Linked DNA regions of Cricetulus griseus. The protein of the gene in region 3 purifies or fractionates together with the protein of the main gene of each other region. This does not show direct contact. Links are inferred from orthologs where the notes say so. Each region holds a gene or a part of one and is shown on either strand. Other genes may lie near its edges.

Evidence for each region.
Region 1: the proteins of Stk11 (region 3) and Cops3 purify together in Homo sapiens (affinity purification with mass spectrometry; 5 studies listed by BioGRID and IntAct, with this or other methods). This does not show direct contact. The link is inferred for Cricetulus griseus from reciprocal best matches to the Homo sapiens genes STK11 and COPS3.
Region 2: the proteins of Stk11 (region 3) and Fkbp5 purify together in Homo sapiens (affinity purification with mass spectrometry; 8 studies listed by BioGRID and IntAct, counting the BioPlex papers as one, with this or other methods). This does not show direct contact. The link is inferred for Cricetulus griseus from reciprocal best matches to the Homo sapiens genes STK11 and FKBP5.

What each region holds. Positions count from the first base shown.
Region 1 is NC_048600.1:73,949,306-73,952,927, forward strand, and holds part of Cops3 (COP9 signalosome complex subunit 3), read right to left. Parts: intron 3,350-3,622; coding exon 3,237-3,349; intron 3,144-3,236; coding exon 3,094-3,143; intron 1,072-3,093; coding exon 979-1,071; intron 1-978. UniProt on the Homo sapiens protein: Component of the COP9 signalosome complex (CSN), a complex involved in various cellular and developmental processes.
Region 2 is NW_023276806.1:233,602,926-233,607,091, forward strand, and holds the start of Fkbp5 (peptidyl-prolyl cis-trans isomerase FKBP5), read right to left. Parts: upstream 2,855-4,166; 5' UTR 2,739-2,854; exon of another isoform or gene 2,571-2,738; intron 2,340-2,570; exon of another isoform or gene 2,195-2,339; intron 1-2,194. UniProt on the Homo sapiens protein: Immunophilin protein with PPIase and co-chaperone activities. Component of unligated steroid receptors heterocomplexes through interaction with heat-shock protein 90 (HSP90).
Region 3 is NC_048598.1:100,914,849-100,919,085, reverse strand, and holds the start of Stk11 (serine/threonine-protein kinase STK11), read right to left. Parts: upstream 2,889-4,237; 5' UTR 2,861-2,888; coding exon 2,571-2,860; intron 1-2,570. UniProt on the Homo sapiens protein: Tumor suppressor serine/threonine-protein kinase that controls the activity of AMP-activated protein kinase (AMPK) family members, thereby playing a role in various processes such as cell metabolism, cell polarity, apoptosis and DNA damage response.

The DNA.
Region 1 (3,622 bases), on a different chromosome or scaffold from region 3:
TGTTGCGTATGCCTTTAATCCTAGTATTTAGAGGCAGACACATGCAGATCTCTGCGAGTTTGAGACGAGCCTGGTCTACATAATGAATCCCAGGACAACTAGAGCTTATGTAGAAAGACACTGTCTCAAAAAAAAAAAAAAAACCAAAACAAAAACCCAATAATAATCAAATCAAATAAAAACTAGGTATATGCTATTCCTATCCCAAAAGCACTTTGAAAAAAAAAAAAAGGAACATGTGTCAGAGGTATCCACAACACAAAACACTCCACAGTAGCTCCAATGAAACCTACACACATTACAGAATGCAGTCTAGCATAACAGAGATCATAGATTCATCTTCAAGATGCATTAAATAGGAAAAAGCAAGATATATAGAAATCCACACAGATTACTGGGATCTGTGGGCTTTCCTTTTTCTTTTTCTTTTAGTGGCGCACGCCTTTAATCCCAGCACTCTGCAGAAGCAGGCGCATCTCTGAGAGTTTGAGGCCAGCCTCAAAGCTTTGGTCTACAAAGCTATACAGAGAAACCCTGTCTTGGAAAACCAAAGAAAAAGTATGTGTTTACACTTGCTTGTTTGTGTAAAGTATCTGTAGAACAAATGCACGAGAAAGTACCAATGAAGGTTTCCTCTGAAAAGAACTGTGGCTAGCAACAGTGACAGGGAGACCTCATCACACATCCTCACTTTTGGGGAGTCTTTTGGACTTTGAGTTACTTAGCATAAGATAAATAAATGAATAATGTTTTAAGTATAAAACACTGCCTGTGTTTTTACTCTTCAAGTTCTATAATTTATTGAATAGAAAATGACTTAAATTTCAAAAAATGCTACAACCATTACAATACCCCTATTTGTAAGTCCCACCCTCCATATGTCAACCCCTTAACACACACTCCACCCATTATCTTGTTGAGCAAACCCACAAATAGCCTCACACCAATGATCAGGTGTGAATCACACTTGCTGCATACCTGGCAGAGATCGGCATGTACTGAGGTCAGCTGGTTTGTATTCATCTGCATCTTGTCTATGGCTTGCTTAAGGATGCCAATTCCTCGAAGGGGCTGTCAGAAATGACATCTCTTTCAGATAAGTTCTCAAAGTTGGCAGCACATTGGATCTTATGTTGTCACTTACAAATAAAAAACAACACTAATTGATAGGTTCCTTACATAGCAATAAGGTTTCCATACTATGTCAGGAAATGTCTGCCTCTATTCAGTCAGAAAGTGTTTTGATAAGTTTCTTAGAATACTTAAGAAAATTTCAGTATTATATTTTAAATCAAAACCTTTTTTTTCTTTTATAATGAATATCAGTAATAAACTGTATTACTTTGTTGAGGGTGGGAGATGGCTCAGTTGGTAAAGTTCTTGCCATGTCAGTATCAGGATCTGAGTTCAATCCCCAGGACCCATTTAAAAGCTGGATGTGGCAGTACAAGCCCCTAATTCCAGCACCCAAGAGCTAGAGGGAGGAGGATCTCTCTGGCTTACTAGCTAGCTTGTCTAGACAGTCAGAGGGCAAAAACAAGGTAGAGAGTGAATGAAGAAGACACCCAGTGTCAACCTGTGACCTCCACATACATGGGCACACATGTGCACACACATGTACACAAAACTAGAGTATTTCCTAATAGCTACAGTTAGCACTGTAACAGAAGCTAAGTGAATGATGGTGCTGCATGTTTTTCACTGGAAGATTAGCCCTAAAGACTGAATCTATCCTAAGCAGGCTGTTTTCCACCCCCAGTTACAAATAACAGTATTCAGCCTCAAGTGAAGCATTACTCTCTGGTCTGAAGAAGCTAGAATATACCTACATAATTTTACAGCTTTTTCAATAAAGAGGCATGATAACAGCTCTCCTCTCCTCCCCCCCCCCCCCACCACTCAGGAAGTGACACTGTAGTATCACCCACCCTTAAGACAGGGATCATGTGTGGCCCAGTCTAACCTTGAACTAGATATGTAGCCAAGGTTAACCTTGAATGCATGATCCTCCTGCCTCTACCTTCCAGTGCTGGGACTACAAAGCTGTTTTTGTTTTTTTAATGTGCATAGGTTTTCTGCCTGCATGTACCACATGAGTGCCTGGAGGCCAGAAGAGGGCATTGGATGCCCTAGAACTAGAGTTACATTCAGTTGTAAGTGACCATGCAGATGCTTGGTATCAAACCCAGGTTCTTAGCCAGTGCTCTTAAGTGCTAAGCCATCTCTTTACCCCCACAGCTTTTAACCAAACTGTTTAGTGCTCCTACATAATACCAAAGGCTCCTTCTGCTTTCAGCCTCCTGGCCTTAAAGTTCATTTTCAAATAAAAAAGAAACACCCAAATTATAATTAGTGTCAAAGGCAAAGTCTAAGAACCATTCCAAGTGAAAGTAAACTAAAGAGAAACAATGAGTACCAACCTATGCTCTAAGGTCTGCTTTTGCTATAGAGATCATCAAGCATGTATCTGGCCATATCTGGCTTGAATCTGAGGTTTTGTGAGAGCACTATCTTAACATCCATTTCCAGACGCTGGCCATGTTCACTGTGGCCTAGGAGAATGTCTAGAAAGCTCCCACTGAAGGTATTTAAGATAAGGAACAAACATTTACAATTGAATTTCCTCCAATGGTGGGGGAGGGAATAAACAAGTGCAGTGAAACACTAACATTTGAAGAATCTAAGTCAAGAGATATAAGAAGTCTTTATATTATCCTTTCAGTGTTTGATATGGTAAAAATCATCATAATCAAAAGCTAGAAGGAAAAAAATAGCATCATTATAATACAAAGGGTAGTTTTTTGTTTGTTTGTTTTCTTCCTTCAGTGCTGGGCATGTAGTCAAGTACCTTATATGTGCCAAGCAACTGCTCTCTACCAATGAGCCACATTTCCAGCCCAGACATGCAGCTTCAAAAACAATCATCACTACCAGTCACCTCCCTGGAGGCATCACATGTTAGCCAGAGTGCTCTCAAGGAACCACACATATTGGGATATTAGGTACCGAGCCTAGACTTTTTTTTACTACACTAGTTCATGACTCAAGCACACATTTTAACAGAACTATGAATACTTGAATAACATTTCTTACCTGTTTTCTTTCCACAAGTGCATTTGTTAGCTGATGGCAAAGCCCAGCAACTAGATGCAACAATAACAAAAATAACAAAATATTGAAAATATAAACACTGCAAAGGGAAATACATTCAAGAAGAGGAAAGACTATTAGCTTACACGTATCTGTTGCATATCGAATGTGCTCGCCATTACATGTACTAATGAAAAGCTGAACCTGTGAGAACAGGGTTTCAAAGTCAGGAACACTGGGCATTGAAAACTTCACAAACCTGGAATAGGGAGAAAAAGAACCAAATTACCTTATATTTTATATAGTAAAGAATAGAAACAACTTAAGCCTAAAGTCCATCCAGCCTCTGTGAAACTAAACACCACAGGGCTGGAGAGATGGCTCAGTGGCTAAGAGCACTTGTTACTCTTGCAGAGAACCCAGGTTAAATTCCCAGTACCTACACTATGGCTCATAACCATAACTTCCTTTTTAGGGGATCTGATACAATCTTCTCATCTCCACAAGCATCAAGTATGCAAGTGGTACACAT
Region 2 (4,166 bases), on a different chromosome or scaffold from region 3:
GTGATTTAAATTATGTATTATAAAGAAATCCAGGCTGGTGAGATTGCTCAGCAGGGAAAGTCATTTGCCACTAAGCTGGACCACTTGAATTTGAAGTTCAGGATTCACATCGTGGAAGGAGAAAACCAACTCCAAAGTTGTCCTCTGACAGCCACACCTGTGCCAGCATGGTCTCAATAATAAATAAATAAATAAATAAATAAATGATAAAATTTAAGAAGAATAAAAATAAATCCTCTCAAATGTCAAGTAACTGAAAAGTAAATATTGAGAAACATACTTTTAAAAAAGGTTGGAATGACAAAAACCTCATTCATGCATGAACTCACTGTTTTAAAACAATTTAAAAAGGATATTCCTACATTAACTTAAAATAATCTCAAGTGGTCCCAACCAATAGCTAACTCAAACTATCTAGATGAATAAAATGACCACTCAATTAATTAGTGCAATTAAATAAAAATTAACTGTGCTCTGAAATACAGACTACACCCAGTGCAGTTCCCACACAAGACACGTTAGAAGTGAGAAAGGAAGAAAACCAAAGCGCGTGTTTCTAACGAATCATGAATGTTATTAACCTTTGCATTTAAAGATGGTTAAAATACACCATTTCTGTAGAAACCCCAAAGTAAAAGCTGTCAGAAGACTGTTCAGCACATACCGGACAGCTGGGAGAGAGGCAAACAGAAAATGGTTAAGTGAAAATACGACAGAGTAAGAATGTCCCAGCAGAATATTTTTCAAGTCATACCTTGAATTGATTCGGGCACCAAGAGTAGGAACTACTACAATTCTATAATAATAATAATAATAATAATAACCACATAGCAAACACTAACAGCAAGAAGGGGAGGGACAAAATTCTTAAATACATGTTAACTTTTCCCTTGTCCTCTACCCTAAGAAAATGGAAAGACAATGAAAATCAGCACTCTCTCCTACTCCTAGGGAAGGCAAAGAAAGTGCCCATTCAACGCTCAGTCTCAGTCCGCTGGGAAAAAAAAAAAAATCCCCAAACCACCAGTTCCCAACTGCAGCTTGCAGAGTTGACTGAACGGCAGGCAGCCAGGCGCGGTACACAGTGTCCCGAGCCCTGCACGACCTGTGCCTCCCACAGCTTTCGCCACCGCCGCTGCCGCCGCCGAAACCCCTGTGTAAAGAGCAGGGCGCGAGCGCTCCCCCCGGCTCACCCACAGCGAGGACGGTGAAGATGACCACAGCGCAGTGCGCTCCCTTCGCTTCTGGCGGACACGCACTTTCTCTCACACACACGTTAAACTCACGCCGGGTTCCGAGTAGGGGGCTTTGGCCGGGACGGTGGTTGTGATGTCCCAGGGCAGAAGGGAAGGAGACTCCAACACAACTTTCATTTCTTTATTATTGGGAGGGAGTGTGAGCATGTGTGCGTGTGTGTGAGCGTGTGTGAGCATGAGCATGCGTGTGTGTGTGTGTGTGTGTGTGTGTGAGCGTGTGTGAGCATGAGCATGTGTGTGAGAGCGTGTGTGTATGTGTGTGTGTGTGTGAGCGTGTGTGAGCATGAGCATGCGTGTGTGTGTGTGCGCGTGTGTGAGCATGAGCATGTGTGTGTGTGAGAGAGAGCATGTGTATGTGTGTGTGAGCGTGTGAGCATGAGCATGCGTGTGTGTGTGTGTGTGTGAGCATGAGCATGTGTGTGTGAGCGTGTGTGTGTGTGTGTGTGTGTGTGTGTGTGTGTGTGTGTATGTCTTATACACGTGGAGGTCAGAGGACAACTCTCGGGAGCCGGTTCGCCTCAGACCACCTCGGTTCCGGGGATCTAACTCAGGTCGTCACACTTGGCGACAAGCGCCTGTGCCCGCTCTACCACCTCGGAGGCGCCGAAAGCAACTTTTAATTGGCTTTTGTTTGTTTGTTTTCCCCTCTCGCTCTACCTCCGCGCCCCCCGGTCACCTGCCGGCCCGGAGCGGCGGGCCGGCCGGGCAGGTGAGGGCGGCGCGCCCGCGCGGCACGCCCAGGCGCCCTGCGGATCGCTGCACCGCGCCGCGGCGCGGGCCCCCGCGGGGCCCGGGGTCTCCCGCACGTCCCGTCCACGCCGCCCCGGGGAAGCCGCGCGAGGGGCGGCGGAGGCGCGATCGCCGGCGCACGGCTGACTCCCGGGTCCACCGAGCGCGCGCAAGCTCGCGCCCCATCCCCGCGGCCATGGCGCCCGTACCTGTCGCCGTCGCCGCCGCCGCCGCCGCGTCTCGGGCTCCGCGTCTCTCCGCCCCCGCGCGCGCCGCTCAGCCGCCCTCTCTGCCCGGCCAGCAGGCCGCCGGTCCGCACGCTCCGCGAGCTCAGCCGCGCGCCGGACGCCGCCGCCGGAGACTGGCAGCGCCCGCGAGCCGGCTAGTGCGCCGGGCAGCGCCCGGCTTCGTCCCGCCCACACCGGCCGCAGGACCCGCCTCCCATAGGGCCGCGGGGCTGTCAATCCGCCCCCAAAAGGCGCGCGGGCTGTGGCCCCGCCGGTCCCCATTGGTGGCCGCGCGCGGTCTATGCAAATGAGGCCCCGCCCCGTCGGTTTGCATCCCCGCCCCTCCGCTGCCGCGGCCCACGTGTCTGGCCCCTGGCCTTTGTGGGGGCCGGAGAGCGGGGATGGAGGAAGCCGGCCGACACCTCTCGGCGGCGTCCTTGGCCTCCAGACTAAGCGCCGCCAAGTCTCTGCCCCGCCTGCTGCCCACCCAGCCCGCCCTTCACCAGCCTGGACCCCGGACAGCAACCTCGTGAGCTCGAAGATGCTCCTTAGACCCCGGGAAAAGCCAAAACAGCACCTCGCTGCTCTCTCGGGACGCCCGGTGGGTGTGGCCGCGCTCTCCCCCGGGGCTCTGCCTCCCCTGCGCAGTAGCCCAGGGGACGGCGACACAGAGGAGCCCCAAGGATGGGCTGCTGAGCCCGCTCAGCTTCAAGACCACACCCCTCCCCCAGCCACGTGGCCAACCCGGGGTGACTGCCTCCGACATTCGGGAGCTGCACCTGGGGACTTGAGCGCGAACCTTCGTTTTCTAATTTTTTTTTTTTTTAAGAGCGCGTTTGAGTGCCCGCCTGCTGTGTGTCTGCGCACTGCGTGGGTGCGGTGGCCCGCAGAGGCCGGAAGAGGGCGTCGGATCTCCCAGGACTGGAGCTGTGAGCTGCCAAGGGCGTGCTGCGGGTGCCACCCAGGTCCTCTGAGAGAGGGCCGGTGAGTGCTAGGCTCTCGCTCTCCTTCCCTCCCTCCCCTTCCTCCTCTCTTCTGTCTCTCTCTCCCTCCCTCCCTCCCTCCCTCCCTCCCTCCCTCTCCCTCTTCCTCCTCCTCTCCTCTGTCTCTCTCTGCTTTTATTTTAGTTATTTATTTTTGTTTCTTTTGCATTGTCATACTTTAGAATATTTGAAGGCCTTCTATATGTCACCATGCCGGGGGATGGTATGGTCATTCCTTTCCTCTCTTCATAGACCTCTGCAGAAAAGACAAAACTGACACAGGAACCTCCTCTTGAGCAGGGGTCCTGTCTCAGTGACGGGAAACTTCCCCTTAACCAGCCTCCCAGGGGAGCCACAAGCTGCTCACATGAATTCGGTCAACAGCGCCATGTGGATAGCAACCGTCCTGCTCACTGATGCCAGCTGGTTTTGCATCTAGTGGGCAAGAACTGCACCCTGTGTGGAGGAGGGCGCACGGAGGTGAGAAGGCACCGTACCAGCCCGTGACAGCTCCGGGCTCACAGGCAGGGACATCCACACTTGAGTAACCCCCAGTTAGTTCTGTGGCACGTGTCTACAAAGAAGAGTGAAGAAGGGCTCTCCCAGAAGGTGGGAAGCTGTGAGCTCACAAAGCATGCAGACCTGGAACGGCTTAGGAACTGAGTGAACAGCTAGGGGCAGTGTGGGCCAATCTGCAGGGTTGTGTGGACTTGTCACATGTTCCGAGAGGAGACTCTTCCAGGAGGAAGAAAAGCCCGGGAGGCTGCCAGGCCATGTTGTAACACACCACAGCAAACAACAACAGGCGCTGTAGATACAGCAGCTGCCGGCTTTTTTTTTTTTTTTTTTTTCTTCTGGGCCAGAGTATGTGGGGGAACAGTCAGTTCTACAGTTCCGAAGACAGCCTGGCTAGCCCCACCCACTCCCCCAGAAAAACCACTCTGGCCACCAGACTTACCCTCCTCGGCATT
Region 3 (4,237 bases):
AGAATACTAACTGCTCTTCCAGAGGACCGGGGTTCAATTCCCAGCACCCACAGGACAGCTCACAACTGTCTATAACTCCAGTACCAAGGGACCCAACACTCTCACACAGACATACACGCAGGTAAAACACCAATGCACATAAGATAAAAAAAAAAAATTATATACACAAGAAAAAAAACAAACAAGAAGCAAACACACAAAAGCATTCTCAGGTTGACCAGCTTCAGTGGAGAGCTCTTGCCAGGTTCATGCCCTAGACTGTAATGTAGCATACAGACACTAGACTGGGAGTCATGTCTTGGGCGAGAGACACACACACACACACACACACACACACACACACACACACACACACACACACGGACACACGGACACACGGACACACACACACACACACACACACACACACACACACACACACACACACACACACACACACACACACACACACACACACGGACACCGACACGCTTCCTTAACCTGTCCCTGCTGACAGGTTTCAGAAGTATGTCCATTCACAAGCAAAGGGCAGCAAGGCTCACATGAAGCCCCACAGGTAAGTCAGTGCAAGACACCCACAGCACACTGAGGAGCAGCAGGTCCCTGCGGCCTTCTCAGAAAGGGAGGCGCCACACTGCCCCATGCCTTGGCGGGCATCCACAGTTATCATATTGGAAAGAGAAAGCTTTGCACACAGACTGGGTCTGGAAGGTTCCGGACACTTCACCATGAGAGAGACAACTTGAGTGGAGTTTATTAAGTCCTGAAAACAAAGAAGCCTTTTTGACTGGGCCAGCTGTCAGCCAAGCTGCCCCTTCCAGGCTGTGACTGTGCATGTGGGTCAGAGGCAGCCCACATGCCCACAGCCTCAGGGTTCCCACTACACCAGCCACACTAGTCCTCCATCACAGACACCTGGCCTTGGGTCATGTCATCCGAAGATCTCAGGACAGGGCAGTGTGTCAGACAGTCTGGTTTTTATCTTGTGTGTATGCAGGCGTCATAGCACACACATGGAAGCTGGGTCTGCTTTCACTGTGTGGGGCCCAGGGCCTTCACCCACAGAGCTATCTTGTCAAGTCCAGTTTTCCTTATGGCTGGTCTAAAACCTGAAGCAATCTTCCTGCCTCAGTCTCTCTACCACTGAGATAATAGGTGCTACTTGCCCAGACCAACTCCAGCTCTTGAGGAACAGTCCAAACACCTTACAGCAAGCACCCTAGCCATCTAGGAGCTGGTGGCCTCCAACAGACTGTGTCCAACGTCCCTCTAAGCTCACACGTGACACCTGTCACTCCCATGCCTCCCCACTAATTCAGGTGGGGCCACTTCAGGGCCTACGAATCAATTTCTCTCACCTGAACCTGCCTGGCTCTGCAAGCCACACCCTGACTGGGCAATGTTAGGTACAGAAGGCATGAAACCTGAGATAGCTAGTGAGGGCTTTGCAGTCATGGATGGAGCTGTGGCGCCCTCAGTCACAAGCAGAAACAGTACACAGGCTTGCCATGTGCACATGGAATGCTACTGACCTCAAGCCAGAATCCAGGCAACCTGGACAGTCAGATACATTGGGCTGCCAGGGGCCATAACCCTGAAGCCAAAGGGGGCTGAAGACCTGGGAGGGGCTGCTTGCCTCAGCAGACCAGTAGACACCACCCAGATGTAAGGTTATCAGCCTAAGACACCTCCACTTTCAGAAAACAGTGATTTGGAACCAGGTTTTCCCCAGCTCAGGTCTCTAACCTCTAGCTGGTCACACCTGGAGGAACACCCCCAGGCCCCACAGAGCCAGAATAACCCAGGGCCAGTCCTATACAAGAAGCCAAACAGGTCTGAGGCTAGCCCAAGACACCAGCCTGCCCTGCTCCACCAGCTGGGTGCACACACTTGGTCCTGGGGAGCTACCCACCTCCCTGTGAGAACCACTCAAGAGCAGCGCCCAGCTGGCAAAAACAAGGAGCTCCCAGCTTTTCCTGGGACAGGACCACAAGCAAGGTCACCAGCCAGGCAGAGTCTCTGCCAGTGCTGGCCCCACAGATAAGGCCCCTTCTTGGAAGACAGTAGGTGAGGTTTCCTAAGTTCCGCCCAGCCGGACAGGCGATAGAGTTCCCAAGGCCCAGCGACACCAAGCACGCAGGACACCGCAGGGACCAGCGCCAACACTGGCTAGCTACCTCCTGCCCCTGCCTCCCGCCTCCCAGCCTGTGTTCACCATTATTTTTGGCCCCACCAGTTCCCTCTGACTCCGTAAACAAAGTAGCCACCCGCCTGGCAACGCCCGCCAAGGAAGCCAGGCCAGGCCCGCGCCAAGATCCGGCCGAAAAAAGAGGGCTGGACGTGGCCACACGACCTCCCCCCTAGGGAAGTCCTGGGGGCTGCCCTAGCACACAGTCCCTACGCGGTGACGCTTAGGGATAGTGGCAGAGAGGGGAGAGGAAAAAGAGGGAGGAAGGAAATGAGAAGGGGAGGAAGGTTAGAGGGGAGGAAAGAATAGGGCCAGGAAGTAGAGAGAAAAGAGGAAGGGCCGCCCGAAAGCTCAAGGCCGGCCCCAGGCCCTTGGCACCTACTTCTTGACGTTGGCCTCGCCATTGGGGATCCTGCGTAGCTTTTTCTTCTTGAGGATCTTGACCGCCCTGCGACACAAGGTCTCGGAGTCCAGCACCTCCTTCACCTTGCCGTACGAGCCCTCCCCGAGCAGGTCCCCCATCAGGTACTTGCCGATGAGCTTGGCGCGCTTGCGGCGCGGCTGGTAGATCACCTCGGTGGAATCGATGCGGTGGATGAAGGTGTCCATGCCCACCGAAATCAGCTCACTCTCTGGAAAAAGGCCCAGCGGCTGGGGATCCCCCACGTCCATCCTGGCCCAGTCTTTGTCCCCTTCAGGGACGCCAATTCTTTTCGAGTTCGAATCTCCCCCCCGCCCGCCCCGCCCCGCCCCGCTTCTTACAAATGTTCAAGAAGGAAAACGGAGAAAGAAAAAAAGCCTCCCCAACACTCCCGGTCCCCTCGACCGGGTCCACGTCCCCTTCGTGGGCGCCAATTCTTCACTTTTGACTTTTCCCCCTTTCTTCTAGATGTTCAATGAGGGAAAAAAAAAAAAAAGGAAAAGCAACGAACCCCGCCAACCCTCGCGTCCCCCCAATTCAGGTCCCCGGGGACGCTGCTTCCGACGGAGGCGACGGTCCGCCGTCGCGGCGCGCGGGCCGCTAGGTCATGGTCGCCACTCGGGCCCCGCGCTCAGGCGCCCAAGGCGGCAGCGCCGAGGCCGGTCCGCGCCGTCCATGTCCGGCCCGCGCCGACGCCCCGCGCGGCCCCTTAGTTCCGTGACTTCCCGGGACGCGGACTCCACCCGGACGCAGGGCACCGGGACACCCGCAGGCCGCAGGCACCGAAGTCGGGGTAGTGAATCTTCCGGAGACCGATGGGTAAAAAAACACCCCGGGCGGCGGGTCCCCCTCGCCGCCAAGCCGCCGCGCGACAGGCAGGAGGCCGGAGCGGCGAGGGGGGAATCGAACTTCAGGCAGAAAGATGCTGCCCGCGAGGGGAAACTCCAAGCCGGCGCCACCCTCCGCGGCTCGCGCCTCACTCGCGGACACCGTGAGCCGCCTCCCCTTCCCTAGACCGACACGCCGCCGCCATCTTGTTTACCGCCCTGCGCCGCGCCGTCGTCGCACGCCTCAACGGCGGACACGCCCCCTCGCGGAGCCGACGTGCGCGGCCGTTGGCTGTAGCCTTAAGTCCCGCCCCCAGACACGCCTCAATTCCCAACGCGGATTGGCCTATTTGGATCGGAGTAGGCGCTCGAGCTGACATTGGACAGCTCGGGTTCCACCTCAGAAGGCGGGACCTACGTTCTCATTGGTTGACTCAGACGCCCGTCAATGAGAATTGGAGTAAGCAAGCGACTGTAAAGGAGCGACATGAACGGCTGTGGGCGGTGGCTTCAAGCCCCGCCCCTCGGTGGGGCTCCAGAGATGGAATTGGTCAGCGCTGATGTGTGTAGGCGGGATCTTATCTCTGAATGGTCGTTACAGACGCCCGTCAGCCAGCGCGACTGACGAGCGGTAAGGTAGCTTGTAGAAGTGACCTCGGAGTTTCGGGACTCGGGTTAGAGTTCACGCGCGCCAACGTCCTCCGGAGAACGGCCGCGAGTGGGAGGGTGGAGAGACAGCCTTGCGGCTCCCTGAATTCACCCAGTCCGGCGTCGTTCCCAACGGCCCTTGGGAACGGGACA